Astyanax mexicanus: one gene and its partners. The protein of the gene in region 3 interacts with the protein of the main gene of each other region in a biochemical or structural test. Links are inferred from orthologs where the notes say so. Each region holds a gene or a part of one and is shown on either strand. Other genes may lie near its edges.

Region 1 (10,583 bases), on a different chromosome or scaffold from region 3:
ACAACATTTCTCCCAAATTCCAAATAAAAAGATTTTCATTTAGAGCATTTATTTACAGAAAATGAGAAAAATATATATATATATTTTTTTTCGTTTAGTACAGTGAAGAAAAAAAATGTGTTTTTATTCTTTTTTCCCAATTTTAATTTTTTTCCATTTCGGCACCTCACAATCCTAACTTATTATTTATATTATTTTCATTTAATTTTCAGATTTTTTAATTTTTCCCGTTGTATAATAAAACTTACTTTTGTTGCCGTATGTAAAAACAGAAAAATTTCAAAAATGAGAAAAGATAATTTTTTCTAAAATGTTTCCTGAAATTCTGAATGTGACAGGCAAAAAAAATACAAAAACAAAAAACTATTTCTTCTTCACAATATTAAAAAATAAAAATTAAATTTTATATATATATATATGTATATATATTAAGCCATAATGACTATAATGTTAAAATATTAAAATGTTCATGTTGATAATATAATTTAAGATGCACTACGCTGTTCCCTAGTGTTTTAGCTGCATATATGCTGATTGAAAATGAATGTATTTTAGTAGAATATAGTAAATATATTAAAGAAGTTTAGTTGGGCTGGAGTTTGTCTGGAGTTCTCTTGAGTCTCTGCACGGATCATCTTCATACGACACTACATATATCTGCTATGTTCCTGCTATGTTTATACTTCTCTACATCCAATCACAATCAGATTCACTCTATCTGGATGGAGAGATTTATCTGGAAAGGGGTTTTATTGAATGATGAGAGGAGTAAGGAATAAAAAGACGTACTGTTTGTCCCGCCGGTTGTAGAGGAAGTTTGTGGGTTTGATGTCTCGGTGGATGATGCCGAACTCGTGAATGTGCTTCAGGGCTTTCAGTAAGTGATAGATGTAATGCTGCACCTCCTCGAAGCTCAGAGTGCCGACTATATCCTACAACAGGAAGAAACACGGCTTTATTACCTTTATAAAGGGAATTAAAGTGATATTAATCCATGATTTTATTCAACAGTACTCACCACGAAAGGCTGGTGCTCTACATAGGGCATCACAATCACCACATGATGCTCCTTTCTGAAGCAGTACGTCACCCCCATCACATTTTCCTTACCACTGCAACACAAAACACAAAATATCTCATTAAAAAATGTCAATATATTTTAATTAGTCGTGTCAATTGATTAAAAAATGTAATCTGATCAATCACAACAAATTTCTGTGATTAATTGCGATTAATCTCACTACTTCTTCTTAAGACAAACAAGTTTACAGTGGATATTTTAATGCAAATAAAAGAATGAATGTAACGTAAAGAAATGTAAAAATTCAGTTTCTGAATCAGTTTCTCTGATTTTGCTATTTATAGGTTTATGTTTGAGTAAAATGAACATTGTTGTTTTATTCTATAAACTACAGACAACATTTCTCCCAAATTCCAAATAAAAATATTGTCATTTAGAGCATTTATTTACAGAAAATGAAAAATGGCTGAAATAACAAAAAAGATGCCGAGCTTTCAGACCTCAAATAATACAAATAAAACAAGAAGTTCATATCCATAAAGTTTTAAGAGTTCAGAAATCAATATTTGGTGGAATAACCCTGATGGTTTTCATGCATCTTGGCATCATGTTCTCCTCCACCAGTCTTACACACTGCTTTTGGATAATTCAAGCAGTTCAGTTTGGTGGTTTGATGGCTTGTGATCATTCATCTTCCTCTTGATTATATTCCAGAGGTTTTTCAATTTGGTAAAATCAAAGAAACTCATCAATTTTAAGTTGTCTCTTATTTTTTCGTCAGCTGTATTCTCTAGTTTCCATATCTGGCTACTTCAGACTGTATTAATTTCTGAGGAAATAAACTTTACTAAGGTTTAAATGAGGTGAATAGAGGAGGAGCACTGACCCTGCTACAGTCAGACACTGCAGTTCTGCAGCGATGCGAACCGGGTGGCTGGTGGGGATGAGATGTTTCAGCGCAAACTTCTCCCTCCTGCCGTCCGTCATCTGAGCCTCACCGAGATACACAGAACTGAAGGTACCTGAGGATAAAAAAAAACAGAATTTACAGTTAGAATAAAATAAAATAGCTATATGTCCACTGCCGCGCACCGTAATTACACTTTGGGTGTAAACACAACAGCGAATGGAAATGGAGGAGCTACTGAACGAGATGTCATGTGACCAAGAAAGCCTAAAAACTCATTGGTTCTCCTCTTTTTTTCAATTGCAGTCCGATGCAGGAGTTTTATCACTGAGTAGAAGTGTGAAATATATTTCACAGACGTCCCCCTGAGAAACTAGTCAGCTAAAATCAGGGGGTATAGTGCCTCTTTAATGAACCATCATGTGTATTTAGGCTGAAATATAGAATTTCATTAAAAAATACCATAACAAGTTGCTTTCTTCAATATTATTAGAGTTTTATTTTCTATTTGAGGGTTTTAAAATTACGCAAATTCCAAACCTTCTCCAATTTTGTCTGTGATTCGAAAAACCCGGGACAGCTGGGGCACAACTTCATACAGATACTCAATATCCATCTCAACATCTCCTGCAAAAACACACACACACACACACAAATACTGAATACAATCAAACTGTAGAATGACCAATAAAGCTAGAAAATTATTAATTTTTTTAACTTTTATATTATTCTTACTAGAGATTTTTCGTTTATTTTCGGTTTCCTCTGGTTTCCTCTGTAAGACCGGCACCGTTTCCTTCTCCATTATAAAGAAAATATATTGGAGAATCCTGCCTAAAAAAACACAAAAAATAAGATCATTTTACACACACAGCTTACAAGGTCAGTGTAACATTTAACTTCACTTAACTTCAAAGTTTAACCTTCTGATCATTTAAGGCATAATATGAAAGCAGAAAATAAAGCACAAAACTTTTCTGGACTTCACAATTTAAAAAAATAAAAAATACATAATTTTACAATTTTATTTTTTTTTTTTATTTCAGCACCTCACAATCACAACTTTAGAAAATTATTTTAATTTAATATTCTCTTAACTTTCAGATTTTTCCAATTTTATAATAAAACTTACTTTTGTTGCAGTATGTAAAAACGGAAAAATCAAAAAAATGAGAAAAGATCAATTTTCCTGAAATTTTCCTGAAATTCTGAATGTGACAGGCAAAAAAAAAATTACAAAAACAAAACACAATTTATTTTTCACAAAACTAAAAAATAAAATTTACATTTTCAAATTTAGACTGAAAAATAAAAAAAATGTAGAAAATTCTAAAATTCAGTTTTTGTGAGGGGCAGAAATTAAAAACTAGAAAGTTGGAATTTTATTATAGAAAACAGGGAATTTTTTTTATAAAGAAGATTTGAACCTAGTATTTTATTTTCGAGCCTCAACCATCAGAAATCTGAACAGATAAACACAATACTGCCCTTATAAACACCGTAACTCAGCAATTTACAACACAAACACACATTAAAACAATAAATTACCCTCTGCAAAAACACTTTATCACATTTTTCCTCTGTTTAATGATGAATTAAAGCTTTATTATCCGAATTTAATCCGGTTTATTTACTTTGTTTCGGAACTAAAACAAATAACTTTAACTTACCTTCAACAAAGTCCTCTTTATTACCAAACAGCCTTTAAAACATGAGTTTAATCCGCTTTTACCCCGCGGGGAGAGGTTTTATATCGGTTAAAGCGGGTAAATGGTGGTAAATATGAAGTTTAAAAGCTAAAAACTCCACAGAACTGAATAAACCGCTTTACGGAAAACCCGCTAAAACCGACACCCCGCTGACGTCACGCGCAGCAAACCAACAATGGCGGACTGACAAATTTCAAAATAAAAGTTCATTATTATTTATCACAGTACTACGGAGATCTTAAGGCGACATCACGTAAGAAAATTCAAATAATAATGATAATAATAATAATTATTAATAAGTGGGAACAAGAAAATTAAAGAATTGGACGACTAGGTAGGAATGAGATGATTAAGTCACAGGGGCAATTTATTAATGTGTGGGAACAAGATGATTAAGTCGTGGGGACAATTTAATTAATTGGGACTTAACTAACCGGGGACTGGGACTTAATAAACTAGTGAAATTAGTGTTATAGACCAAAAATAAGAGAAATAGAAAAAAGAGAAATATACATAAATGTCATATATAATTTGAAATTTTATTTAAATCCCACTGTTTTCTTTTCTTGTTTGTTTGTTTAGATTTGTTGTTTGTTTGTGTTTTTGTTTTGTTGTGATGTAAATTCGATCTATTATTGTGTCTGTTTCATGCTGTTGGATCGCATTGTATACAAAAATTAATAAAAAAGAAAAAAGAAAAAAAATGATAATATAACATTTCTATAACATTTTTAAATTCAAAATAAAAGTCTCAAGCAAACAAATACAAGAAAAGAAAAGTGTGAGTAAAATAAAAGTCTGAATAGTGAACATAATTATAATACATTTTTGTTGTAATAATTAATTTGAATTATTTTCACGATTCAGACTTTTATTTTACTCACACTTTTCTTTTCTTGTATTTGTTTGTATGCGACTTTAATTTTGAATTTCCGGTTTTCTCCACTAGCAACTCAAACTTCCTGTTCATTGTTGTTGTGCTCAGTGTTAAGTGAAAGCAAGACATGAGAAGATCATCAGTGAAGCAGCCAGAACATTAGGACCCGTTTTTAGAGAGGAAGAGGATGGACAGGTTTGTGGTGAAGATCCCTAAGCAGGCTGGAGGACAGCAGCAGGGAGGGAAACCTGCAGAGAAGGTGTACAGACAGGCCACTCTGGAGTCTCTGAAGGTGAGGAGTGTAGTGTGAGGTAGTGATGTGTGTGAACAGGGTGTGAACAGGTTTCTCTGTGTTATTCAGAGGGTGGTGGTGATTGAGGACATTGAGAGGTTTAAGGCCATGCTGGAACTTCCTGCTCAGACTAAGGAGAACATGCTGATGGCTCTGAGGGAGCTGGACAAGAAAGTGCCTTCAAAAGAGGTGCTGAGATCCACCAGAATTGGTAAAAAAAGGAGCTACCTTGTTTTTTTATTTGTAGATATTTGAATTAACCCTTTCAGACATTAATTATGTTCCAGTGCAAAAATATAAGAATATGAGACTTTTTCTGTGATCCACACAAAACAAGACTGTAATATTCTTAATACACACTCTATATAAAATGAAATCCAATTAACTAAAAAATAATAATAATTTTTATATTATTTAAAATTATATATATTTTTATTCCATTTAGTATAGTGAAGAAATTTTTTTTATACATTTTTTCAATTTTTTTTTTCCATTTCGGCACTTCACAATAATAACTTCAGGAAATTATGAATTTAATATTATATTATCTAAATTTTCTATTTTTTCAAAATTTTCCCCATGGTATAATAAAACTTACATTTGTTGCTGTATGTAAAAATGGAAAAAATATATATATATATAAGAATATTAGAATGTTTCTGTGATGTGCACAAAACATGACATTCTAAAATGTTTTATCCAAATTTATATACAATAAAATCCAAGTAACTAAAAATGTAATTGCCTTTTAATGTCCATTTAATGTCAAGCTGCACAAATGTTCTCTAACAAATATACAGTACCAGTCAACAGTTACACACCTTAAATTCAGTGTTTTTTTTTTCAATACTCTGAAATGTTCTGCATCGTAGATTAATACTAAATTCATCCAAACTATGAAGCAAAACATATTAAAATTAATTAGTAAAGAAAAACGTGTTGAACAAACAGTATATGTTTAATATTTTACATTCTTTAAACTAAAACCTCTTGCATAGATAAAGTTTTCTACATCTCTGCTGGATTTTCTCAGTCAGCTTTATGAGGTAGAGTCACCTGGAATTCAGGCTTTCAGTTAACAGCTGTGCTGAACTCGTCAAGAGTTAATTACTTGAATTTCTTGTCTCTTAATAAAGTGTTTGAGAGCATCAGTTGTAAAGTTTGAAGAGCAAAGCATTCTTAAGTGCAGTCACCGCAAACACTAAATCAAAAACATTATGATGATGGAACGGGCACTCATCAGGTCTGCCCCAGGAAAAGAGTTACGAGCCTCAGAAACCAGAGTATTTGTTGTTGTTGTGTTTGTTTAACAGTAATTTTAAGTTACTACATGATTCCTTATGTGGTTCTTCATAGTCCGGATCACTTCACTATTCATTTACTTTGTAATTTTCAGTATACTCTTCTATATATTATACAGATTTCAGTATGTAAGTATGAATACTGTTTGTCCTGTAGGTCACACGGTTAATAACGTGCGTAAGCAGCATCCGGACGCTGAGGTGAAGGCTCTGGCGCGGGAAGTCTACACACACTGGAGAACCTTCATCGCGGAGAACGCCAACAAACCCTCTATAGAGGTCCGCAGTGATAAACAGACTGAGGGGCTCCGGAGCAACGCGGTCAAACTCCTCGCTGACAGCATCGGACCGGAGGTAGGATGTACTGCACTGATACATAGTGCATCTCAAAAAATTTGAATATGATTGAAAAGTTACTTTATTGCAGTAAAACCCCAACAACCAACCAACCTGAGACCCAGGTTTGGCTTGCGATTAGTTAAGGGAAATGAATGGTACGGAAACAGCACTTTATCTGAGGAGCTCCTGCTGCTGTTCCTCACTCTATGAGTGTTTTTATCTGAGTACAATAAAAAAAACAGCAGCAAACAGGGGGGGTTGTATGTGGGTACAGTAAACTGGAAGTGGTGGGATGGGTGGTTTGCGAATGGAATTTAAAGATAGGAGAGATAGGAAAACATTGTCGGTTTTTGTAATGCACTATATTGTTATATAGATTTATTAAACACAGAGTGATCTATTTTAAGCGTTTATTTATTTTATAGTTGATGATTATGGCTTACAGACAATGAAAACCCAAAAATCAGTGTCTCAGAAAATAAGAATATTTTTGGCAGTGTGGGCAGTGTTCCACATCCGGCTGGAAAATGAAATCTGCATCTATTTTAAGCATTTATTTATTTTATTGTTGATGATTATGGCTTACAGCCAATAAAGGTTCTCAGAATAGTGTCTTAGAATATTTTATTCTAATCGTATGGTCATGAAAATTTGCCTTGAAGGCATGAAAAAGTCATGGAAATGTATTGGTTAAAAGTGTATGAACCCTGTATATTGTAAAGGATAAACAGGAGGTTTTTGAAACAATGTGGGGACCCGTTATGGGTTATATAAAGAGCTTAGGTAATATAGAACTTTAGACAGGTTGTGAGAAGTGGGTTCACATTCCTTTTTTGTTTAATATATGTGTATGTAGGTGTATGTATGTATGTATGTATGTATATGTATATTTCTACTGTATATCCTTCTGTGGCCCAGGTTTAGCTTGAGATTAGTTAAGGGAAATTAGGGGTACGGGAACAGCACTTTATCTGAGGAGCTCCTGCTGCTGTTCCTCACTGTAAGAGTGTTTTTATGGGAGTAAAATAGAAAAACAACAGCAAACAGGTGGGGAGGGATGGTTGTGGGTAGGGTAAACTGGAAGCTGTGGGTTGGATGTGTAAAAACTTGATTACAGAAAAACAACAGCAATCAGCAATTATTCACTCAAAAAAGAGACGAGTGGAATTGCTCAATCTATCCACAGAGAAAAGTTCTGAGTACATTTCATTTCAGTATCATTTCATTCATTTATTCATAAAAATGTATTTTTTAAATTACAATTCTAATCTAATTTAATTTAATTGTGATTTCTGCAAAAACGTCCTCAGTATGTCCTTAAATGGAGACATATATATTTTTTTATATATTTTAATTGAGTGTAATGGTACTGGAAGTGTCTTCATATGAGGTCAAAGGGTCAACATTTTAACTGATTAAAGCTGTGTCTCAATTCAGGGGCTGCATCCTTCGAAGGACGTGGTCTACGAAGGTGTGTCCTTTGAAGGATGGGTAGGCTGCGATGGCAGTACTGAAATGGGACAGTCTACCCTACGGTGTATTTCCTGTTTCCTGTTTGAGATTCTACCCTCCACAACCAAAGTGACCTGAGAACCAAAGGGCTGAGAAATGAGCCAGAGATTTTGATCTAGTTTTGCTTCAGACCACAAAATACCAAATTAATTAAGTCCAGGTTAATTAACTGTGCAGTTACTTAAATATTTTTAATGTGAACGGGTGGAACTGAACATAAATAAAATGGCGTTTGAAATGAAGTTAGAAAAAAGAGAATAAATTAGAATAAAGTATTATGTTATATTATCTATTATATATATATATATATATATATATATATATATATATATATATATATATATATATATATATATATATATATATATATAGTATTTTATATATATATATATATTTATATATACTACATATATATAAACCAAACAATACTTAAAAATAAACTAAATAATACATAAATACATACACACACATATATATATACATATATATATGTATATATATATATATGAAGTATAGTATTTACATATGTATAAACTATTAACATATAACAACATAAACATGATAATACATATAAACTAAATAATATAAATGATATAATATATAAATAATATTTATAATATCTATAAGTATTTATATATCTATAAACTACATAATAGAGCCGACTCCTCTGCTGACTCTGCCCTGTTCGCGCTGAAATAAGCCGGCACGCAATGAATCTTGGGATACTGTAGGCTGTGAGGGATACACCCGGTGCATCCTTTGTTTTTGAGGAAAGGAAAGCTGCATTCGTCGGCCGCATTCGAAGGAGTCTTCGAAATGGGACAGCCTAGTCGCACCGCGGTGACGTAATTGGCCTTTAAATGAGTGCTTCGAAGGATGCAGCCCCTGAATTGAGACACAGCCTAAGTATCATGATGCAGAGAAGCAGTAACGTCCCCATATAAGGACGCAGGGTCTCAGGAGGATATATGGGGGGTGGATTTGTGTGGGTTACAATGTTTGTTTTATTGTTCTGTCTCATATTTGGCTTTTGTTTTGTATATAAATAAAAAGACTATAAGAAAAAGAAAACATCATTTTGTTTCGTGTGATGTTCCTCTGGTTTCTGGTTGGTTTCTGCAGGTCAGTGATGGGCTGGTGGAGAACATGGAGAGGGAGGTGTTTCATCAGTCCTCTCGTCTGATTAACGTGGTTTATAGAAGAACTATCAGAGCGCTGGTCTTCGCTCTGAAGCACAAACCGGACGTCCGAGCACAAGTGAGGGACGGGACACTCCCTGTCAACACGTTCGTGAGCAATCACAAGAAGAAACAGTGACTCCTACCATCTTACTTATTTTATTTTAATTTTATGTGAAACTTTTTATACTGTATGATTTTTAAATGCTATGGTCCAATCCCATTTCACCCCTGATCCACCACCCCTCTGTTTTGTGTGTGCTAGAGGTGTCCTGATTCTTGTTAGGCTGCAGGGGTAGGTTAGGGTTAGGGGAAGGTATAGGTATAGGGCTTGTTATCCTTCATACAGAGATTTTTCAGAATCACTGGTAAGAAACCCACAAATGTAAATATTTTCCAAGCTAAAAGTGACGATTAGCACTATTTTACCATAGTTTAATGAGTAGTTTCAATGTTTTAAGGCCAAATTCTTCATAAAAAAGGATTAAAAGGTCGCTAATAGTTTGTATCAGTAGCTAGCTAGCTAGCTAACTTTCCCATTCCACCTTAAATGGTGCAACAGACAGCAGGGGCTGCATCATTTAAGGTGGAACGGAAAAATAAAACAAAATAAAAGATATTCAAAGCAAATTTCAGCTCCCCATCACAGAGGAATTAAGGAATGGACAGTAATAAATCATTTCTGCATCATCTCTCACCTTTCTGAAGACAAACGATAAAATACACCCTAACGTTAACTAGTTAATCAGCAGCAGCAGTTAGGTTGCTGAACTTTAGCGCTCCTGATGGTTTTCCCAATTCTTAGGGGGAGGATTTTACCCCTTCTTCTTCTAACTCTGTTCCAAAAGGAAGGGTTACACTAAAAAAAAAATAGGTAGGGGTAAGTAGGAGGTTTAAGGGGTGAAATGGGATTGGGCCTATATCATTGGTTGGTTTTAATAATGTTGAAGAGCAGGATGTCCATATTACCTTTAACTAGAGCGCTGTTCAAACAGCATGAACTGAACTATATAAACTATATTCTCTATAAAGAGAATCCTGTCAGTTTTTATAAAACCTTTTAAAATAATAGATTTTTTTTTTGCTTCATTTTTTATGTATTTCATATTTCAGTAATATTTACAGCTTAAAATAGTGGAATCATTGCATTCATTAGACGGGTTCTCCACAAAAATAGTGTGTATTATATTGAGCAGAGTTACCGTATTTTTCGCACTATAAGGTGCACTTAAAATCCTTAAATGATTTAAGCATTATTATCCGGTGCTCCTTATGTATGAATTCTACCAGTCAGGTATTAAGGAGCAGCACTGCTGGAGCAGCATTAGCATTAGCTGCTAATCACACTAAGCGCTAGCTCTTTTGCAGTTCAGAGGTGAGTATATTGCTGGGACTGTAGCCTGCTGCTAACCCCGGCTAGCGCTGCTGCAGCAGCATTGGCATTAGC
Region 2 (10,086 bases), on a different chromosome or scaffold from region 3:
TTATTTAGTGGTATCAATTGCTTTAAAAAATATTGAATATCACAACAATATTCTGATTAATCATGATATTAATTATGATTAAAAAATGTAAATGTAAAATGTACATTATTATTTTAGGTGGAAGCTGTAAGTGAGGTGGATTAAGCAAGGTGGAAGGAAAGAAGTGAAGGAAGAGGTGGGAGTGTTATATACAGCTCTAGAGAGCACTTAAAATGACGAGTTTCTTTGATTTTACTAAATTGAAAACATCTGGAATATAATCAAAAGGAGGATGGATGATCACAAGCCATCAAACCAAACTGAACTGCTTGTATTTTTGCACCAGGAGTAAAGCAGCATAAAGTTATCCAAAAGCAGTGTGTAAGACTGGTGGAGGAGAACTCCAGGGTTATTCCACCAAATATTGATTTATGAACTCTTAAAACTTTTCTTTGCATTATTTGAGGTCTGAAAGCTCTGCATCTTTTTTGTTATTTCAGCCATTTCTCATTTTTATTGCAAATAAATGCTCTAAATGACAATATATTTATTTGGAATTTAGGAGAAATGTTGTCTGTAGTTCCTAGAATAAAACATCAATGTTCATTTTACTCAAACATAAACCTATAAATAGCAAAATCAGAGAAAGTGATTCAGAAACTGAAGTGCTCTTTTCATTTTTTACAGAGCTGTATTAAATCCACATTTCAGCATAAATGAAAATATAATTCAGAACCCAGCATTACAACACTATGTTTATATTGCAAAATAAAACTCCTAATTACGGGAGGAAGTCGGGGCAAACTTGATAATGTGATTAATTTGCGATTAAATATTAATGCATTAAAGTTTCCAGGTTATATATTACAGCCAATTACCCAGCGGGATGGAGTCAATTTTCTTCCATGGTGTAAGGTAGGTTTTCTTCTGCAGCCAATCAAAATACTCCTGGCAGCTTTCACTGGGCTGGTCCCACGGTAACTCTGTAAAACAGGTCTGAGCGTCAGAGACCTTCAGAATAAAGCACAGGTACATTAAGCTTCACTATTCTCACTGTAAAATAAATTCAGCAGGTGTTCTCCTCACCTCCAGCCAGCATAGCAGTGAGCACGATGCCACAGGCCCAGATATCTGCAGGCTGAGCGTGAAACTCCGGCCGGGACATCAGCTCTGGAGCCACGTAGGGCAGCGTCCCACACAGCCGGGTCAACATACGCTCGCGCCCGCGGTGCCGGAACATCGTAGCCAAACCAAAATCTGAGATTTTCAGATTATCTAAGAAAGAATAAACCAATAAAGTATGAACATCCTTTCTTATGGGAGATTTAATATTTATACGAAAGGATTTAAACATTTTAAACCACCTTTATCATCCAGCAGAATATTTTCTGGCTTGATGTCGCGATGAGTGATCCCAATACTGTGAAGATATTCCTGTGAAAATAACACATTTCAGAAAAAACCTGTTACAGTGCTTTACAGTTTTAAAAAAATATAATAGCTATAATAAATTGTACACAATATAATGTGACGTTATAGATAACATTTAAAAGTCCATATCAGTATTATGTGATGAAATAGGTATTTTTGTATAATTGTTTATATATAAAATGTTAGCAGTTTATATGCATGCACTGAATATTCTGGAACTTTCAGATATATTTTCATAGATTTTTTGCTACTTCATTACCATTTTGTGCAAAATCAATTTTGGTAAGATACTGATTACAAAATAGACAAAAATTATACATTCATTGAATAAAGCTTTGACATTTATTTTGTTGGCATAATATATTTTTAGATCAAATATAATATTATCAGAGGATTTTTTGTATTGTCAAAAATATAATCATCGGAAAAATATTGGGCTATAAATTGTTGGACCATATTGAACACCCCTAATAAATAATTAATATAATAAATAAATATCAGCACTCACCACTCCTCCTATCAGCTGCTGGAAAAACCTGTGAGCCTCTTTTTCTGGCATTCCCACATCAGGTTCTGAGAAACAACACAAATATAAATGTTTAATTATCTTCAAATATTTGCTAAATAGACCAGCTGATCCCTGTAGTTGCCTTCATTCTGTAGTCGGCTACATGCCCATTACTAGAAACTCCAGGTTTAAGATTGTTTTCTCTGAATTATGGGAATTTTGGGAAAAATGCTGTTGTTGCATCCTGTGAAAAACAAGAATATACTAAACCTGATATAATACATTTTTCACCTAGAAATTACTGGATGCTTTTGAATAATATGTCCTTTAAGCTTTGTCTAACATGTCTGCAATTTGTACATTTTCTCCAAATGTTATAGTTTCAGATTTGGAACATTTTTCTGCATCATAGTGTTTGTTTTTAGTGCTTTTGGTTTATTTATTTATTTCTGCATTTTTCTCAGGATCCACAGAACTATGCAAACACCAATAAAAGTTGGGCAATATGACAATATATTATCATATTTCACAATGCTTTTCCTTAAAGCATATCAAGAATATCATCACTGCCAAAAGAACACTGACCCAGCTGTACATTTAACTGCATAAAGTGTAGAAAATCCTGTTTAAGTATATGACAAATCTCTGAAAAATAACAGTTTTTAGGAATCTACCACTGCTGTTCCCTTTTCTCCAAGTGTCAAAACATTACATGTAATATAATATTTTAACCAATTATTTAATTAGGGTCAGACTAAGGTTTATTACGTTTAATTTAAACATTAAATCAATGTTTTCTGCTCTCACCTATTCGATCAAACAGCTCTCCTCCACTGCAGTACTCCAGGAAGATGTACTGGATGGGCCCCTCACTCCTGTGCCCGAAGAATCGCACGATGTTGGCGTGTGACAGCATCTTGTGCACACAAACCTCTTTCTTCACATTGTCCAGACAGTCTTTAGCTCGGGATGTGTCGACAACTTTCACAGCCACTGCCTCCTCTGTCTTTCTGTTCACTAACAGGCGTACCCTGAAAAAAACAGCATAAAAAAATAAATATTCAGAATCATTTTAATGGTTCCAGAACAGACAGCACAGAGAAAAAGCCCACAGATGGACACTCACTCTCCATATGCACCCTCTCCTAGGGTCTGCACCAGATCCCAGTCTTGAACAAAAGGAACAGCCATTATCTGAATTGAACAGACACTGAACACAAAACCAGAACATTAGATCAGAAATCTCCACAAACAGGTTTCTAAATGAGTATTCTGTTGTATTTATTTTGCCATGTAAAGCTTTAAAGGGTATATTTTGTATAGTTGTTTATACACAAACTAAATATACATATTCTACAATTTAGTATTATGGCAGATTTGCGTTGTTATATCAGATTATTTTCATATTACATTATTTATTTTGTTACATACTTATTTCATACAAAATCATCTTAGAATGTTATTGTTGTTTCCAAAAAACGACAACAAAATGATTTCTTTATCTGCTAAGTTTATCACAACAATACTTTAAAATATCTTGATTATTTTACTGTTGATGAAAACCCAATCATATAATTGGCAGTGTGGGCAGTGTGCCAACCAAGTCATGTTGGAAAATGAAATCCACATCTCCATAAAAGTTGTCAGCTGAAGTAAGCATGAGGGCTGTAAGATATCGGATTTTATTTTCCAGCAGGACTTAGTTGGCACACTGCCCACACTGTCAAAAGTACCAACTGGTCTTATATAATATTCTAACTTTCTGAGCAACTGATTTTGGGGTTTTCATAAGCCATAATTAACCATTAACTATAACATAAATAAACACCTAAAATAGATCACTCTGTGCGTAATACATCTATATAATATATAACATATATCACATATTGAACCGAATTACTTAATCAAAGTAACTTTTCAATGATATTCTATTTTTTTTGGAGATGCACTTGTATACACATATACAGATGCAGTTGTAATAATGCTGTAAGTTAACTGCAATATTAAGATACAGTACAGTCATTGACGTATCAATAACTTATCAATATTAAGCTTATCTATTGATAGTGATTATCTACTCTCTTGAGAGGCCAGCCTGTAACGTTAGAGTTTCTCTTATTAAAGTTTCTATTGTTTTCTCACTTTTTTCTAACATTAATCTAATCCGGCAGTTACCCATTAAACCCTTCTTATATATTTATATTCAATATTTATCCTAAATTGATATTTATTTATTTATATGTATTAATATAGACGAAGTTCAGGATCTGTGATCTGCAGCAGATAACGTTACAGTCAGAGAGCCGGACTGTATAACAGCAGTTAAATAAACAGTGTTTCTGAGTCTCAGCGCTGATCTAACTCACCTCACACACCGCAGCTCTGTAGTGGATTAAGGGGAAATTCTCCCATATAAATAATAAGCGCGTGTTAGCGCAGAAAACACGATTTATTAATGAGTATATTATATATCCGCTGCTTCCTCCAGCCACACAGCAAAACAAACTTTGGCGCGTTTAGTAGCAACGCGCTCACAGGAAGCACGATACAGTACCACCACTTTTCAAAATAAAAGCCTCAACAAGTCTTATTCAGAATTAAGTTTAGAAGCAAGTGATTAATGAGTGGGCTGTGCAAAATTGGGGAGAAAATGGGTATTTTAAAAAATAAAATAAAGAAAGTGATTGAAGGCTAAAATAAAATAACATAAATACACCATAAAACAATAATCCTATTTAATCCTATATATACCATATATAGTGACACAGAAATATCGTGATATTAAAAATCCATATTGTGATGATAGGGATGTTCTGTCTTAAAAGTAGTCTGTTATTTACTGTGAAGTTTTAAGTGTATTTATTGTATAATTGTTTTAGTTAGCAGTTTATATCAGCGCTGTCCTATGAAAAAAAAAACACTTATCTCCATTTTTGTTAATTTTCAGTTTACTACATAATTTGAACAGACAACCTGTCCCTCACACTGAAATAAACTCTTTTTATATTGATTTCCACTGAAAGTTTACAAGGTTTTTTCTGTTTTGGAGATCAGTGTTTTTTATTGGACAGCGGCAATATGCATGCACTAAATATTCTGCAATATTTTTTGCTGCATTATATTATTTTATGCCGTATTATTTGAATGAATTATTTTAGTTTTTTCCCAAAAATACAGTTAATTACCAGAATAAAAATAATGCTAGCATGATTGATGACAATTATATTTAAAGTAGTTGCAACAATAATACATATCTAAGTGTTTCTAACACTGATTCATTTAACTTTTAAATACCCATTATCAAAAGCTTGGTCTTAAGGAAGAAAATGTGCGATTAATTGGGATTTTTTTTATATTATTGACACATTTTTTTACAATTGTTGTGTCTTGTACTGAATTATTTTATATTGTTTTGTGTTTAAAAAAAGTTTTTTTTATATAAAAACGATCAAACATTGATCAAATATGATTTTGTTTAATTGCTCCATACGAACTCATTCATTTTAGGCTCAATCAGGAGCGCCCTCTAGTGTCAAACATACCCAGAACACATTAATAAGGGGGTATTCTCCTCTGTAGATTATCTCTGGTATCGCTGGTTGCTAGGATACAGAAGGGCATTACCGCAAACAGAAGTGTCCTCCATCAGGTTTAAACTCCCCAGAGCAATACTTAGGAAAATTTAGGATTTGTAATATTAATAATTAGCTAATTAGTCAATATGCTGATGAGTCAGAGACACCGAACACAGTGCCGGGAGTTCACCGGACCCACCCCTCACTCAGTGGCAGTGGTGAGTTTATTTTGTCTTATTTTATCAGAGGCTCCAATGTGTTATTATTCAATTCTGATAAACAGTAACTAGATCAGGAAGGTTTATTACATAAATATGACTTAAATATGATATTAAATATTACAGCAGGCCAGTGGCTACATATCTAGTATTTAAAATCCATTCAACAGTTTAAACTCAGAATTCTCACAGACTTAATTTACCAGTCAAACTTTTCAACACATCTTTTCATTCAATGTTTTTTATTTATTTATTTATTGTAAGTTTTTTTCTACATTGTAGATTAATATTATGGCCAAAAAAAACAATTAAGGGACACATATGGAATAACATAATAAACAGTAAAACAAAAAATAGATTAGACTATAAACGAGCCAAAGAAAAAGTTTATTAGCCAGTGAAAAAATAACTTAACCCTGCCCACTGCACTAAAAAAACAGCACTAAAAGCCAAAGAGGCAAATTAAAACACCCCATTTTTAATTATTGTATGTATTTAATATAATGTAATGTATTCCAGGAACTCCTTCAAGACGCTGAGAAAACTTTTCCAGGTGACACTCCCTCATGAAGACACTGAGATTAAAATACCAAGATACTCAATACTCAAAGATAAATGTACTACTTTAGAGTTTATACTCTAAATTATAAAACATATTCTGGTTTGTTTAAAACTTGTTTAAAGAACAATTCATCACGTGTTCCTGTAGATATAAGGTCTTCATTATTAAATGTAAATGTAAAAAAATATATAAAAAATATATAAAATACATTGAATGAGAAAACGTGTACATTTCTGCTGCTATGGTAAGACTGGTGACAATCTATTGTCCTGTGTTTGTTAGCTAAGTTAGCCTAGCAACTGTGTCCTCTTAGAAAGTCTGCATTTTGCTTTGTTTCTGCTCCATACAACTCTACCAGGTATTCATTCAGTCATAGAACTTCTAGGAGTCCCAGAATTTGATTCCCTAGTTCCCTCACCATGTTGTCATATTTTGGGGTTTTATATGACATCATAATATATGTATATAAATAAAATCAAGAATTTTTATAATGAAAAATGTAAAAAAAATTCTCAACACAAATCAGTATCAAATGTTTTAAAACTGCAGATGTAATTTTTAAAAGCTTTTAAACAACAGTTATAAAAAGTAATTCTATTAAGGGGGCCAAGTCCAAATGAGTTTAGAGCTCCTCATATCGCTAACGATATGTCCCACCCCTACTTGTTATTGTGAAGTCTTTTCTTATTAATGATTATTGATTAATTATCTATTTAAAATATTTTAGAGGGCACGGCATCCATCATCCAAACCCCCAGATTACTTTATTCTGGAGAGGAGGAAACAGGAAGTCAGTCGAAACAAGGTGCTAGAATTCACCAAGGACCAGAAAACCTGTGACCTGAAGATGCTTTGGGAAAGAAACACTGAACAGCGGATGGTGTCGGCCACTATTGACAGGCGGGTCAATGAGGCTATGGAACAGTATCAGATGAGCATCGATGAAAGGAGAGAAAGGTTCTCAACTCAGTTCATTTTTACACTAATTAAAATCTACTACCGTACTTTTATTATGAGTAGTTTCTTACTTTTTCTCTCCTTCTTTTATTCTTTTTCTTTCACACTATTACTGTTCTTACAGGCTGCGTAAGATGCTGGAATCAGAGGAGAGGGAATTTCTGCGGGCAACAGAGGAGCAGAACGAGACTGTGCTGGAGAGGCAAACCAAAATGAGAGCGAGGGCAAAGTATCTGCAGGAGAAAAGAGAGAGCGAGAGGCAGAAAGTCGCTGCTGAGAAACTTGACCAGCTCTTTAGGTACAAATGTTTTTTTTTTTTTATTACTGCTAACTGTGCATAACATAACTGTATCTAAAGGATATGCTGTAAATGGCAACTTACAGCATGCAAAGGGTTTTGGAAACACATAATGATATATAGTGAGCACACATGCCTGGAGTGGTGGGCATTTGTCACTTAAGGGCTTAAGGGCCACAGTCCTGTCATCAATAACCTGCTACTCTAATAACATGTGACCATTAGGGGTAGTGGTGGTGCAGAAGTTATATTATAGGTTTGAAATCAGGGCTCGTCAAGCTACAGTAGGTCCTTAACTCCACATGCTGCTGCGATGTCTGCCCACTGCTCCAGGCATGTGTGCTAATGTCACTGTGAATGTCACTGTGAATGCAAAAGGCATACAATATTTATTTTAATTAATCATGGGTGTTTTACTCCGCTTGTATTTCAGAGAGCAGTGTGAGGAGCTGAGGACTGCAGAGACCCTGCGCAGACGGGACGAGATCTGCAGGGAGCGAGCTGCTCAAATCCGTACACGGGACGAGGCACGCCGTCTGCATAAGGATGAAGAAATGCTGTTCGCTAATCTGTGGGAGAACGACCGACTGGCCAAAGAGCAGCGCGAGATCCAGGAGGCTCAGCGTCAGCGCGAGAGCAACTTTCACACCCTGGCTTTTCTGCAGGATCAGATGATGGCGGCTGAGCAGCAGAGACAGCAGGCCAAACAGCTCAAAGAGGAAGAGGCCAAGTTACTGGTACTAGTTTCCTAACAGTTTACATGTAAAGATTAGTGGTAGACAGTGTTTCAATTTGGTGTTGTGTTTAAACCACTTGCACCAGTTAGAAGTGTTGTACTCTGTTGTCAGATCCGACTGTTCTGATTGGATAGCAATCAAACTTTTCCTTTACTCAGATTTTATTAATATAATAGGATCTTTTTATGCTATAAAAGTTTTTCTTAAATTTGTTTTAAAGAATTGCAAATTATTACCTTGTTTTACAGTATTGCAATATACACTGTCTGGACAAAAAAAAATCGCTACCTGGATTTAAGTAAGTAAATGATGTGGGGTTGATTCTGCAGTTGGTCTGCAGGTTTAGATTCAGCAACAGTATGTGCTGAAAGAATGAGGTCAGCTGACTACCTGAATATACTGAATATAGACCAGGTTATTCCACCAATGGATTTTTTTGTTCCCTGGTGATACAGACATGATAATATCAGGATTCATGGGGCTGGAATTGTGAAAGAGTTCAGGGTTCAGGGAGCATGAGATCATCATTTTCACACATGGATTGAGAGAGTTCACCACAGAGTCCAGATCTTAACCTCATTGAGAATCTTTGGGATGTGCTGGATGGAGAAGAGCTGCTTTGAGCAGTGGTCAGACTCTACCATCATCAATGCTGCTGCAAGATCTTGGTGGAAAATTAATACAACACATTGTAACACAATGTAAAACACATTTGGAGTTTCAAATACGTCTTCTTTTTTGTTAGCAAGAAGACTAAGTCTAACTCAGTCTAACTGAGCATGTGCACAGTGAGTGTAATCACTCTAGCTTGTTTCTAATTGGAGAAATTCAAGGTGTTACAACTTTTACATGTTACAACAATCCCTGGTCTCCCCTACCAAAAGCCACAGTGTATATGAAGGTTCATTAAACACTTTTGACAGACACTGTTCCTTCACTGCTCTGTCTTTGCTGAAGCTGTGTTTGTATGCTGTGTTGTTCAGAGAGAGCAGAGCGAGATGCTGCGTCTGGAGGAGCAAAGGGAGCACAAACAGAAGCTCCAGAGTCAGGAGCGGCGGCGCAGGCAGCTGGACCTCTCCCTGCGGCTGAAGATGAAGCGAGTGGCGCAGGAGCAGCAGGACGAGCTGGCCCTGGACATGAGCATCCTGGAGCAACTGCTGACAATCGAGAAGGACGAGAAAAAGGAAGAAGCTCTTAGGAAGGTAAGAACTGATCGTGCCACACTAAAGCAAAGAGGAACCATGCAGAAGAAGGTTAAAGGTAAGAGGATGTGTACAGTTTTGATTCAGTCATATAGTGTGCAGTATTGAAACCTTAATAAATTAAGTGATCAGAAACTGTGGACAGAAATGCCCAAAAGCTTGGAAGCTACACATTCAGATTCTCCCAAAGGCCTAATCAACTTCTATAGTGCTAAGGCTCAATATGTGGGCCAATAGGTTAATTTGTCCACTCTTAAATTTTATAATATTAACTACAGAGTAGTTTTTTTCATTTTCTCTGGATACTTCATAGCCATTACTGAATAATATGCCTGAAGATTAATAACTGAATAATAAACCTAAAAGTCAGGGGCACAATTGGTCAAAACTGCTATTAATAAATTGTGTAATGCATTATAGTAAAAATAGCAAAGCACTGTAAACTACACCAACCTGCTAAAAGTCATCATGGGACAGGAACTAGTATCATATCCTATGGCAATTCTTGTCAGATGACACCAGTCACAATCATTACCTCCCACTGCACTGCATGGTAATATTATCCATCTATGATTTACAGTACTAATTTGGACACACTGTAAAATTCTGTGTTTTTTCA
Region 3 (9,976 bases):
TATAAACATATTTATAATGTAGAACAGTGATGAGTTTAAGGTATTGCACAGATGATCTGAAGTAAGTAAACATTTAGAGAAAGCCTCAGCACAGCAAAAACCTGCAAATCTGAGACTCGACTGCACACCTGTGATCTGCCGCAGCTCCTCCTCACTCAGGTCCTCAGTACCCAGCTCATCATCCTCCGTTTTATTCATCAGAGTCACACAGTGAGCCTCCAAGTACGTCTCTGACAGCAGACCCTGAGAACACAGCCAGTCAGAACAGGAACATCTGAGGGTTCAACACAGCGCCTCCATAGGAACTCTAACCACACCAACCCAAACTATCAGCCAGCAGCTGAACAACGGTAGGTTAATCTTTGTGTGTGTGTGTGTGTGTGTGTGTACCTGCACAGCCTGTCTGAAGCCGGAGCGAAGAAGAGGAAGGAAGACCCCGGAAACGGCCACGTGATCTCCCGGCTGCACTAATCGTGTGTTCTCTCCTCTGGCGTAAATAGTCATACTGCGCGGGATGTTCCCCACTGGAACCTGGTCGCTCTGCAGCCGAAACAAAACCAGAGGTTAGTACAGTCTCTCTGCAGCACAGAGGGTCCAAAGCCCGGTATTACTCCGGTTCTGATTTAGAGCTGATTGAAGACACACACATGCTCCTGAATCCGCAGCTCCTGAAACTTGACAAACTTTGAGCCCCTGGTCTGCAGGTAGAGGCGCCCCCCTGACCGATTGGTCACACACTCCTGACTGGGACACATGATGAGTGGCATGAAGCTCGGAGACGCAATCTATAAAACACACACACACACACACACACACACACACACACACACAAAAAGTTATTCTCAAAACAAAGAGACCCCCCAGAGGATATTGTCAGTAACAGGTTCTAGATAGCTGTACCGGCTGGTAGGTCTCCGCGCCACACTGGTCACAGGTGTACGTAGCAACAGCCATCATTGGTTTAACCTCAGTTGCCCTGGTAACGATTCCTCGGACAGTAACTAGCTTCCCAATGCTGTCGGCCTTCACATCCCGCACAACCTTCGGCTTAGAGGTGGAGGGTGGCCGGAAATACACCTCACTGAGAGAGAGAGAGAGAGAGAGAGAGAGTCATTTGTGTTCTTTTTTTATTTTTATGCCCTTAAGCATTAATATGCTGTTCACTCACAATCTTCTCATGAGCTCAGCAGGGTACTGGTTCCTGGGGTCCCTCATGTCGGCGGGGTCACGACCCCTGGTCTCCATCATCAGCCGGTGCTCGATGTAAACGTCCAGCGCATCTTTGGCCACTACCTGCAACACACCAGTTTTCAGTAGCTGCTCAAACACCTCTGAGTGGAATGCTGTGTGTGTGTGTGTGTGTGTGTGTGTGTGTGTGTACCTCTCGCTCCCGGTACTCTGGGAGAAGCTCATGGACTGCATCTGCAAACAGCACTGTGTACCGTTTTGTGTTCTCACACACACTTTCCACCAGCTCGGGATCTTCCTCTGCTACGTCATCCAGGTCCACCACCAAGCCCACCTGCTCCCTGTGTGCCAGGGCCACCTACACACACACACACACTTAGTTGGAGAAGAAAAAGGTGACAGTGCTCAGTGTCGGTAAGACAGAGGGTGTGTGGGTATTACTCACCAGTTGAGCTCCATATTTAAACACCTTCTTTCCAGAATCATCTTCAGAGTAGAACTCCTGCAGGAAGCGCTTGCACTTCTCTACACACACACACACACACACACACATTAAAAAAACTATTAGAACGCCAATTCTAAAGACCTGCCCAATGTAATTCAGATCGGATTGTACCCATTACTGACCCTTACTTATGTTTAGCCCCCCCCCCGCCCCCCCCCCCCCCCCACACACACACACACACGTACCAGATTAAACCACATAAGTGTGTCCAAAATGTCTCACACTTAGTGAAGGGGAGCAGGTGCTACACGACAAAGGAGAAGCTCCCATTGATAAACAGTGATCACGTGGTTTGCACCCTCCCCCACGCGGAGGAGGACCACAACTGCTTATTAGAAGCTTTAGTGCGTCACAATAACCGTGTACAGGTACATCACACGCGCGCGCAGTAACCTTAATAAATAACCAATAACCTTAAAAATCGGTGAACTATCAGAAACTGTCAGCTCCACCTTAAATTAGTGCAGCACTTTCACGCTGGATCCTATGGCGCACTGCTGCTCTAACTGCTGGACTAATTTAAGGTGGAACGTAGAGTTCGAGTTTTCAGCATTTTTTATATTTATATACCCTGTGTGTCAACCCTCTTTATTAAAGCTCGGAACTCCATCTTTAACCCCCACCCCTGCTCCTTTCCGAACAGCTTTTCTTATACATTAGGATTCCCAGCCGCCCTCCTTTTTCCGAGCCCAGCCCCGCTCCGAATACGAACCGCGGTGTGTCGGCGACTGGATCCTGCGGTCTTCTCCGCGCGCCGGGCTGCCCAGGAACCCCGCTGTAAGCGCGCAGAGAGCGGGGTAGAGACAGACGGAGCTCCGCGCTCGCTGCTGTTTTTGTAAACAAAGAAGCACATGGCTCCCGGCCTTCTCACATACTGTGCCCCTCCGCGCTGCTCCAAATAGTGCCCGGATAAACACAGAAGCAACCCTCCCCCAGCACACGCATTCAGACAGGAACAGTAGGACTTAATCTACACTTCAGGACACGCCAGTCTGTTTACTTGTTTACATTTCAATTATAAAACTAACGATGAGGTTCAAAATATAGTAAGCAAAATAACGCGCAGATATTTTATTCCAATATAATATAGAGATCCCTTAACACTACTCCGCATTTACATTAACGATTAATATGTTTACTACTTGCGCGTATATTCTGTGTGTGTCTGTGTGTGTAAACAAACTGCGTGCGTGTTTCGCAGACTCTCACTGCACGTGCTCCTCCGCGCGCCACAGCTCTTTGTTTTACGGGTGCATCCGGGTAACCAGCGCAGATCGAGTCATCCCAGAGTCGACTCCTGCCAGTTCACTCGAAGCAGCTGACCGTACTATAAAAACTCAAAAGAGGAATCCGCTGCTCCTCGGTTTAAAGATCTCACCCTCAGTTCGCAGCTGTGTGATATTAACGACCTTAAATTGTGTGTATAAATTCTATGTTTGGATTTAATTCGGTATTTACTGTTGATCTGAGACGTAAACATTGCGTAGTTGCGTCAAGTTCATTCATATGCTCGGCTCAGACGAACCGACTCATTGACTTATCCGTGCATCCGGGTACTGCTGCTCGTCCACAGCTCTGTAAACTTTACTGGAAAAACTTTAGTCTTTGGTCTAAAACACGGTTTGATCTAAATTAACAGAACTAACTTTACAGCTGCTGCTTATAGAAGTGTGATGAACAGCGGAGCAGGAGCTGTGTGGTTAATAGCGCAGTTAAAGCGCGGCGGGAAGTTAGCCTGCGAACAATGAACACTGCTAACCACAGCTAAGCTAACTAGCTGACAACCACTATTTATTAATCATAGTGAGTCACTAAGGAGAAATAAGTGGAATCGCTCTGATCAACACACACACACACACACACACACCATCCCGAAACTCCCGCTACTAATAAGCTACAAGTCGCTCCACCTTAAGTAATTCAAGTAGTACAAGTAGTTCCACCTTAAAAGCTGCATGACTTACACAGCTAGCAGCGACAGAAAGCTACAGAATTAGAGCACCGTTTAAGGTGGAACGGTCCGTTAGACTAAAACGCTATAAAATGTTTCCACCGGATAAAAGCGTCTTACTCGAAATTAAAAACATTATGTTGTATTAACACAGAATAATTGTCAGTACATGATTAAAAATCTGATCGCCATTTTTCTTTCTCAGATCCTCAGAGTTCCTGCAGTTTCTTACCTTTCTCGGCTAAATAATCCTTCGGTGCCATTTCCAATCGGTCTTTTTGATGTTCAGCCTCCTAAATCGATCCTAAATCGATTTATTCCTTGGAGAATATTGATTATAGGAGTTATTATCTAGAAACGCGAGTGTTAAAGTTTCGTCACTGTGTCTCCGCGCACGCTCCACTCCACACAGCACGGTCTGCGAAAACTGGCGGGAGTCTAACTGCGCTGCGGACCAATCACAACAAGAGTTCTGAAGGTATCATCCAATGAGAGCAAAAGGATACGTACACACTCCACCAATCAGCGATAGATTCTTAGAAAAGACGGGCGGGGATTATGTGTGGCGCGAAAACTGAGAGATACGTAACACACCGCGTGACCTTGTCGACCAACCACGTTCTGAACTGTAATGGCGCCAAAAATGTCAGGGTGAATCTCAATTGGCTCTTTGCTTCCTACGTATGTTTTTTTTTAACTAGTGCACTAAATGCAGTTCCATTTTTGATTGTAGAAGTCGTGCACTATGTAGGGAGCGAGGAGTATTTTTTTATCAACAATCATATCTCTTAAATATGGAAGCCCATTCCCGCCACCTAAAAAATAAAAATAATCCAGCAAAAAAAACTATTATTATTAAGTAAACTGCTATCTCAATATTTTGAGACACTATCTCTATATATTGAGATACTAAATCAATATTTTAAGATACTAAGTCAATATTTTAAGATACTAAGTCAATATTTTGAGATACTAAGTCAATATTTTAAGATACTAAGTCAATATTTTTGAGATACTATCTATAGCTTCTTATTCGCCAGTGTCTACTTCAGATTTCCGTTCCATCTTAAATGCTGGCTGAACATACATACGGCCGCCTGTAGATGGCGCATTTTAACAGTAAATAACAGCATGTAAGCAAAGCGCTATGCAAACGCTCTGAATAAAGGAGAGAACACAATGCGAGGGACAGAGATTAACTCTGAGTGAAATATAATGTAAATAAAATTAGATGATATGAATTAAAATGTTATTGCTTTCACTTTTGGCCTAATTCCCAGGTCATTATCTCTTCAGTCTTAAGTCGTCTAGAAAACTATCATACCTATTACACAATACATAAGACTGTCAAAATCCTGAAGAAGGTCAAATATTACTGATTTTTTTCACAATGATCCTGTGAGCACAGCCTGTAATATAATATAAATTAATTAATATTAAAAATAATGGTAAAATAACACTTTTCGCCTAATTCCAAGACCATTATCTCTTCAGTCTTAAGTCGTCTCACAAAAATGACTGACACACCTAATACCCAGTACCTCACACTAATAAACAGTACCTCACACTGACAGTCTGACGTATTGAGTATTAGGTGCGTCAGTCATTTTTGTGAGACGACTTAAGTCTGAAGAGATAAAGGTCTTGGAATTAGGTGTAAAGTGCTATTTCACCATTCATTATATTATATTACATGCTATGTTCACAGGGTCATTATGTAAAAAATCCACAGTAATATTTTTTCTTCTTCAGGATTTTTTATAGTATCTCAAAATATTGACTTAGTATCTCAAAATATTAATATGGTATCTCAAAATATTTAAATAGTATCTCAAAATATTGAGAAATATGTGAACTAATTCTGTTTAAATTGTGCTTAAAACACACCATTTTCCAACACAATAAATCCAGGAATGCTTTATTTTAGAAAGCAATTAATCACACTCATAAAACTAACATACATTTCCAATAACTTAGTCTAGTTTATTTTTCTCATCACATTAATTTGTGTTTATGTTAAATATTTATATAACCATTTATATTAATATTTATTAAACCATACACTACCTCCTGATTATTTTACAGCATCGTAAAAACACTGTTGCGTATTTAAATTTTAATCCTTAGTTCCTATCTTATTCTCTTTCTTTCACACTGTACATCTTACCATTTATATATATTCATTTATTGTATTTGCATTAATGTTTAAATTGTATAATTCTTATGTTGTAGATATTTTTTTTGTTTAGTTTTTATGAATATGGTCAAACAGACATTAAAGCGCTTCCCTACTCTCATGAGTCACTGCTTCTAAACGTGATTTTTAGCAAATATGTTATTTAGTCAGTATTTTAACAATGATATATGATATAACCCATTTACTATAATGAAGAAGATGAGGATTACTGCTGAACATCCAATTAAAAACAGCGGGCTCGTAGCTTTTTCTCTGGTTGTGTTGCTGGGTAGAAACCACAAAACAATCCATCAGCGTTTACTGGACGCTGTTATTGACCAATTGTTTTCTAGCGTTTGCTGCGCCGTTTTGTCCAATCAGAACTCGCTTAAAAGCGCGCCTAAATTTAGCCGTTCGGAACCAAGAGATCTCTTTCAAACTGAGCTAGAACCAGAACCGGGGAAAAGTTCTGCTGCAAAGGAGAACCGGGTTCCTCAGCGCTCCTGAAACTGTAGAACCGCTCATCTCACAATTTCTGAGGTAAATTCCCCGCTCAGAGCCACTAAACTCGACCGTGCTAATGCTAATCTGCTAATTAGCTGCTGCTAGAGTCCTTTTCTAGTTCTAAAACTTTAACTAGCGTTTTACAATAGTACAGCTTATTCCTACAGTATTTTACAATAGTACAGCTTATTCCTACAGTATTTTACAATAGTACAGCTTATTCCTACAGTATTTTACAATAGTACAGCTTATTCCTACAGTATTTTACAATAGTACAGCTTATTCCTACAGTATTTTACAATAGTACAGCTTATTCCTACAGTATTTTACAATAGTACAGCTTATTCCTACAGAATTGTACAATATTACAGCTTATTCCTACAGAATTGTACAATAGTACAGCTTATTCCTACAGAATTGTACAATAGTACAGCTTATTCCTACAGAATTGTACAATAGTACAGCTTATTCCTACAGAATTGTACAATAGTACAGCTTATTCCTACAGTATTTTACAATAGTACAGCTTATTTCTACAGTATTTTACAATAGTACAGCTTATTCCTACAGAATTGTACAATAGTACAGCTTATTTCTACAGTATTTTACAATAGTACAGCTTATTCCTACAGTATTTTACAATAGTACAGCTTATTTCTACAGAATTGTACAACAGTACAGCTTATTCCTACAGAATTGTACAATAGTACAGCTTATTTCTACAGTATTTTACAATAGTACAGCTTATTCCTACAGAATTGTACAATAGTACAGCTTATTTCTACAGTATTTTACAATAGTACAGCTTATTCCTACAGTATTTTACAATAGTACAGCTTATTCCTACAGAATTGTACAATAGTACAGCTTATTTCTACAGTATTTTACAATAGTACAGCTTATTTCTACAGTATTTTACAATAGTACAGCTTATTTCTACAGTATTTTACAATAGTACAGCTTATTCCTACAGTATTTTACAGTAGTACAGCTTATTCCTACAGAATTGTACAATAGTACAGCTTATTCCTACAGAATTGTACAATAGTACAGCTTATTCCTACAGTATTTTACAATAGTACAGCTTATTCCTACAGAATTGTACAATAGTACAGCTTATTTCTACAGTATTTTACAATAGTACAGCTTATTCCTACAGTATTTTACAATAGTACAGCTTATTTCTACAGTATTTTACAATAGTACAGCTTATTCCTACAGAATTGTACAATAGTACAGCTAGTGATTTAATGTGTTTTACCTTTTTTCAGTAGAATTAAACAATTTTAAAAGTCCTTTGATATGAGAGGTAAAGCTGTTACCCTCTCTGTTTTCCAGCAGGTTTTTGTGAATAAAGGGAAGAGCATGAAGTATGAAGAGTCTGACCGGGACAGGTAAACTGGTGTTTAAAGCCTCTGGGAACATGTACGCATATATTTTGATATTATGATATCAAATGTGGGTGATATGTGAGGTATGAAGAAAAAATTTAATAGAAAACTTGAATTATAATTTTAGTAAATCTTTAAATTTACCAACCTGTACTCATCACACCTCCCTGATGTTTTGTTTTATTATTTGTTGGGATGTTTATGAACATGTACATCTCTCTTTGACAGGACAACTCACAGCCAACACACACAACATTGGGGCACTGATCCACTTTTTAAACGCCATATTCTACATCAAGAGAAGAACAACACTGGTGAAATACACCATGTTTACTTAGCTTTATGTCACTGAGGTGCTGCATTAATCTTAATAGAAATACATCTCAGATCTGGAATTTAACTCTTTCCTCAAGTCTTTAGTGTCATGTTAATCCTGTTAAATATAAATTGTTCCTATTCCATTTAGTATGAAAGAACAATACCCACACCAGTAACATTAAAACAATTCTTAACTGATATTTCTAAAAAAAATCTATGGTTACTAATTAATCAAGAGGATGACACTTAATTTTAGACTTGAAATAATTTACTGATCAGCTTAGATTTGATCATGATACTGAAATGTCCCTGCAAGTAAACGTAATTTGTGTTTGTTTGTGTGTGTGTGTGTGTGTGTGTGTGTGTGACACAGTAGTAGTCCTGAGGATCTGGACGATGTCTCAGATGCAGACTTCAAGCTCCAGCTAAGAATCTCAAAGAGAAAACTGGACATGGCAGTGGAAACAGCAGTATTTTCATTTGCTTTCTCATCCATACTTTCACTCACTTACACTCACTCACATTCGCCTCAAATTAAACTCATTTGATTACACACACTCGCTCACTCTTGCTTTCTTGTTTTCACTCACGAAAGTATGGAGTACTGAGAGAGTTTTCCACTACGTTTTCGATTTTTTACGCCAAAAAAAATTATGTCAGTCGGTCTTAACACTCACACGAACACGCTTACACTCACCAACATTCACTTTCGCTCACTCTCACTTACACTCCATAACACTCACTCACTCTCACTCATGGGCGTGGTAGTGGGGGAAAAAGTTGTCTGACTACTCAGGGCCCTAGTAGGGAGAGGGGCCCATGAAACTCCAGATACTTGTGTACTGGCATGGATAGGGGCCCACTGACATTGAGAGTATACAGGGCCCAGAATTTGCTGCTACGCCCCTGCTCTCGCTTACACTCGCTCACTCACACTCACCTACACTCGATTACACTTGCTCACTCTTGCTTACACTCACGCTTGCTTACACACAATTACACTTGCTTACTCTCGCTTACACTTACACTCGCTTAGGCTCTGATACACTCGCTTCACTAATACACGCTGACAATCACATTTAACTAACACTAACTCTCCTAAACTCATTCACTTCTAAGCTGTGTCTCCACAGTCTCCCAAAAGACTCCGGCAGAGAACAGCGAGTCAGTCGGCCAGCAGCTCCGGTACATCCCGGCCCGACACGCCCACAACCCCCCTCGCAACCGAGACGCGGCGGGGGGGAAGGAGCCAGAGGAGGGAGTGGGGGAGGAGCCAGTCTGCTGCGGGACACCTGTATGAGTCTGTACGCTCAGGACGCAGCGCCATCGTGGTAAGGGGTGTTTAAGTTTTATTCTACAATTAATTTCTATAAAGACCTCCAGGTTAGTAGGTCATAAAATAAATATATTAGTGCAGCTCTCAACTTTAAACTCAGAAGCAGAAGAATCTAAAAACTGGAAGCGATTTTGATGAATAGTCCAGTCTGGAGCTGGTGTAATGTGGAGTGCTGTAGTATTGCAAGTTGCAGTTAAATTGCTCAGGAAACTAAAAAACTCAGTATACGTATAGCCAACATTAAATAATCCTGATATGAATATGAACAGTATAAATCTGTGGTGTACATCAAACCCCGGCACTGCCAGGCTACAGTAGTCTAAAATGTTCTACCCTTTCTGCTCAGCTTGAATGCAGTGAACTGACAGCAGGTCCCTGTAATGAACATCAGTCAATAATGGCTTCCTTGTTACAGACTAAAAGTTTTCAGGTGCACTGTTTCAGATGGTGGTTGATGACTGGCTGGATGACTATAAGCAGGACCGGGAGGAGGGACTTCGGGAGCTCTTTAATTTTGTTGTTCAGTGCTGCGGCTGCAAAGGTGAGACCTGATTTTCAAACTGGATTTTAAACCACCTTTTGCGCTAACCTCTGTCGGCAGCTGCCC

The links.
Region 1: of the proteins of mcm7 (region 3) and cdc7, one has a biochemical effect on the other in vitro, tested with the Homo sapiens proteins (2 studies listed by BioGRID). The link is inferred for Astyanax mexicanus from reciprocal best matches to the Homo sapiens genes MCM7 and CDC7.
Region 2: the proteins of mcm7 (region 3) and chek1 form a complex in vitro, tested with the Homo sapiens proteins (2 studies listed by BioGRID, with this or other methods). The link is inferred for Astyanax mexicanus from reciprocal best matches to the Homo sapiens genes MCM7 and CHEK1.

Annotation. Positions count from the first base shown.
Region 1 is NC_064411.1:55,010,121-55,020,703, reverse strand, and holds the start of cdc7 (cell division cycle 7-related protein kinase), read right to left. Parts: upstream 3,804-10,583; 5' UTR 3,599-3,803; intron 2,763-3,598; 5' UTR 2,734-2,762; coding exon 2,664-2,733; intron 2,556-2,663; coding exon 2,469-2,555; intron 2,044-2,468; coding exon 1,908-2,043; intron 1,113-1,907; coding exon 1,019-1,112; intron 933-1,018; coding exon 790-932; intron 1-789. Other genes in the region: tceanc2 (transcription elongation factor A N-terminal and central domain-containing protein 2), read left to right, coding at 4,702-4,806, 4,876-5,017, 6,265-6,461, 9,081-9,275. UniProt on the Homo sapiens protein: Kinase involved in initiation of DNA replication. Phosphorylates critical substrates that regulate the G1/S phase transition and initiation of DNA replication, such as MCM proteins and CLASPIN.
Region 2 is NC_064424.1:6,592,019-6,602,104, reverse strand, and holds the start of chek1 (serine/threonine-protein kinase Chk1), read right to left. Parts: upstream 4,449-10,086; 5' UTR 4,285-4,448; intron 3,129-4,284; 5' UTR 3,110-3,128; coding exon 3,045-3,109; intron 2,950-3,044; coding exon 2,726-2,949; intron 1,984-2,725; coding exon 1,919-1,983; intron 1,414-1,918; coding exon 1,344-1,413; intron 1,255-1,343; coding exon 1,066-1,254; intron 963-1,065; coding exon 858-962; intron 1-857. Other genes in the region: cfap53 (cilia- and flagella-associated protein 53), read left to right, coding at 5,640-5,711, 7,001-7,230, 7,355-7,528, 7,962-8,265, 9,249-9,467. UniProt on the Homo sapiens protein: Serine/threonine-protein kinase which is required for checkpoint-mediated cell cycle arrest and activation of DNA repair in response to the presence of DNA damage or unreplicated DNA.
Region 3 is NC_064426.1:60,254-70,229, reverse strand, and holds the start of mcm7 (DNA replication licensing factor MCM7), read right to left. Parts: upstream 4,084-9,976; 5' UTR 3,908-4,083; coding exon 3,877-3,907; intron 2,510-3,876; exon of another isoform or gene 2,406-2,509; intron 1,714-2,405; coding exon 1,634-1,713; intron 1,547-1,633; coding exon 1,382-1,546; intron 1,294-1,381; coding exon 1,169-1,293; intron 1,082-1,168; coding exon 901-1,081; intron 786-900; coding exon 648-785; intron 541-647; coding exon 391-540; intron 244-390; coding exon 129-243; intron 1-128. Other genes in the region: cohesin subunit SA-3, read left to right, coding at 7,697-7,749, 8,407-8,503, 9,167-9,364, 9,814-9,910. UniProt on the Homo sapiens protein: Acts as a component of the MCM2-7 complex (MCM complex) which is the replicative helicase essential for 'once per cell cycle' DNA replication initiation and elongation in eukaryotic cells.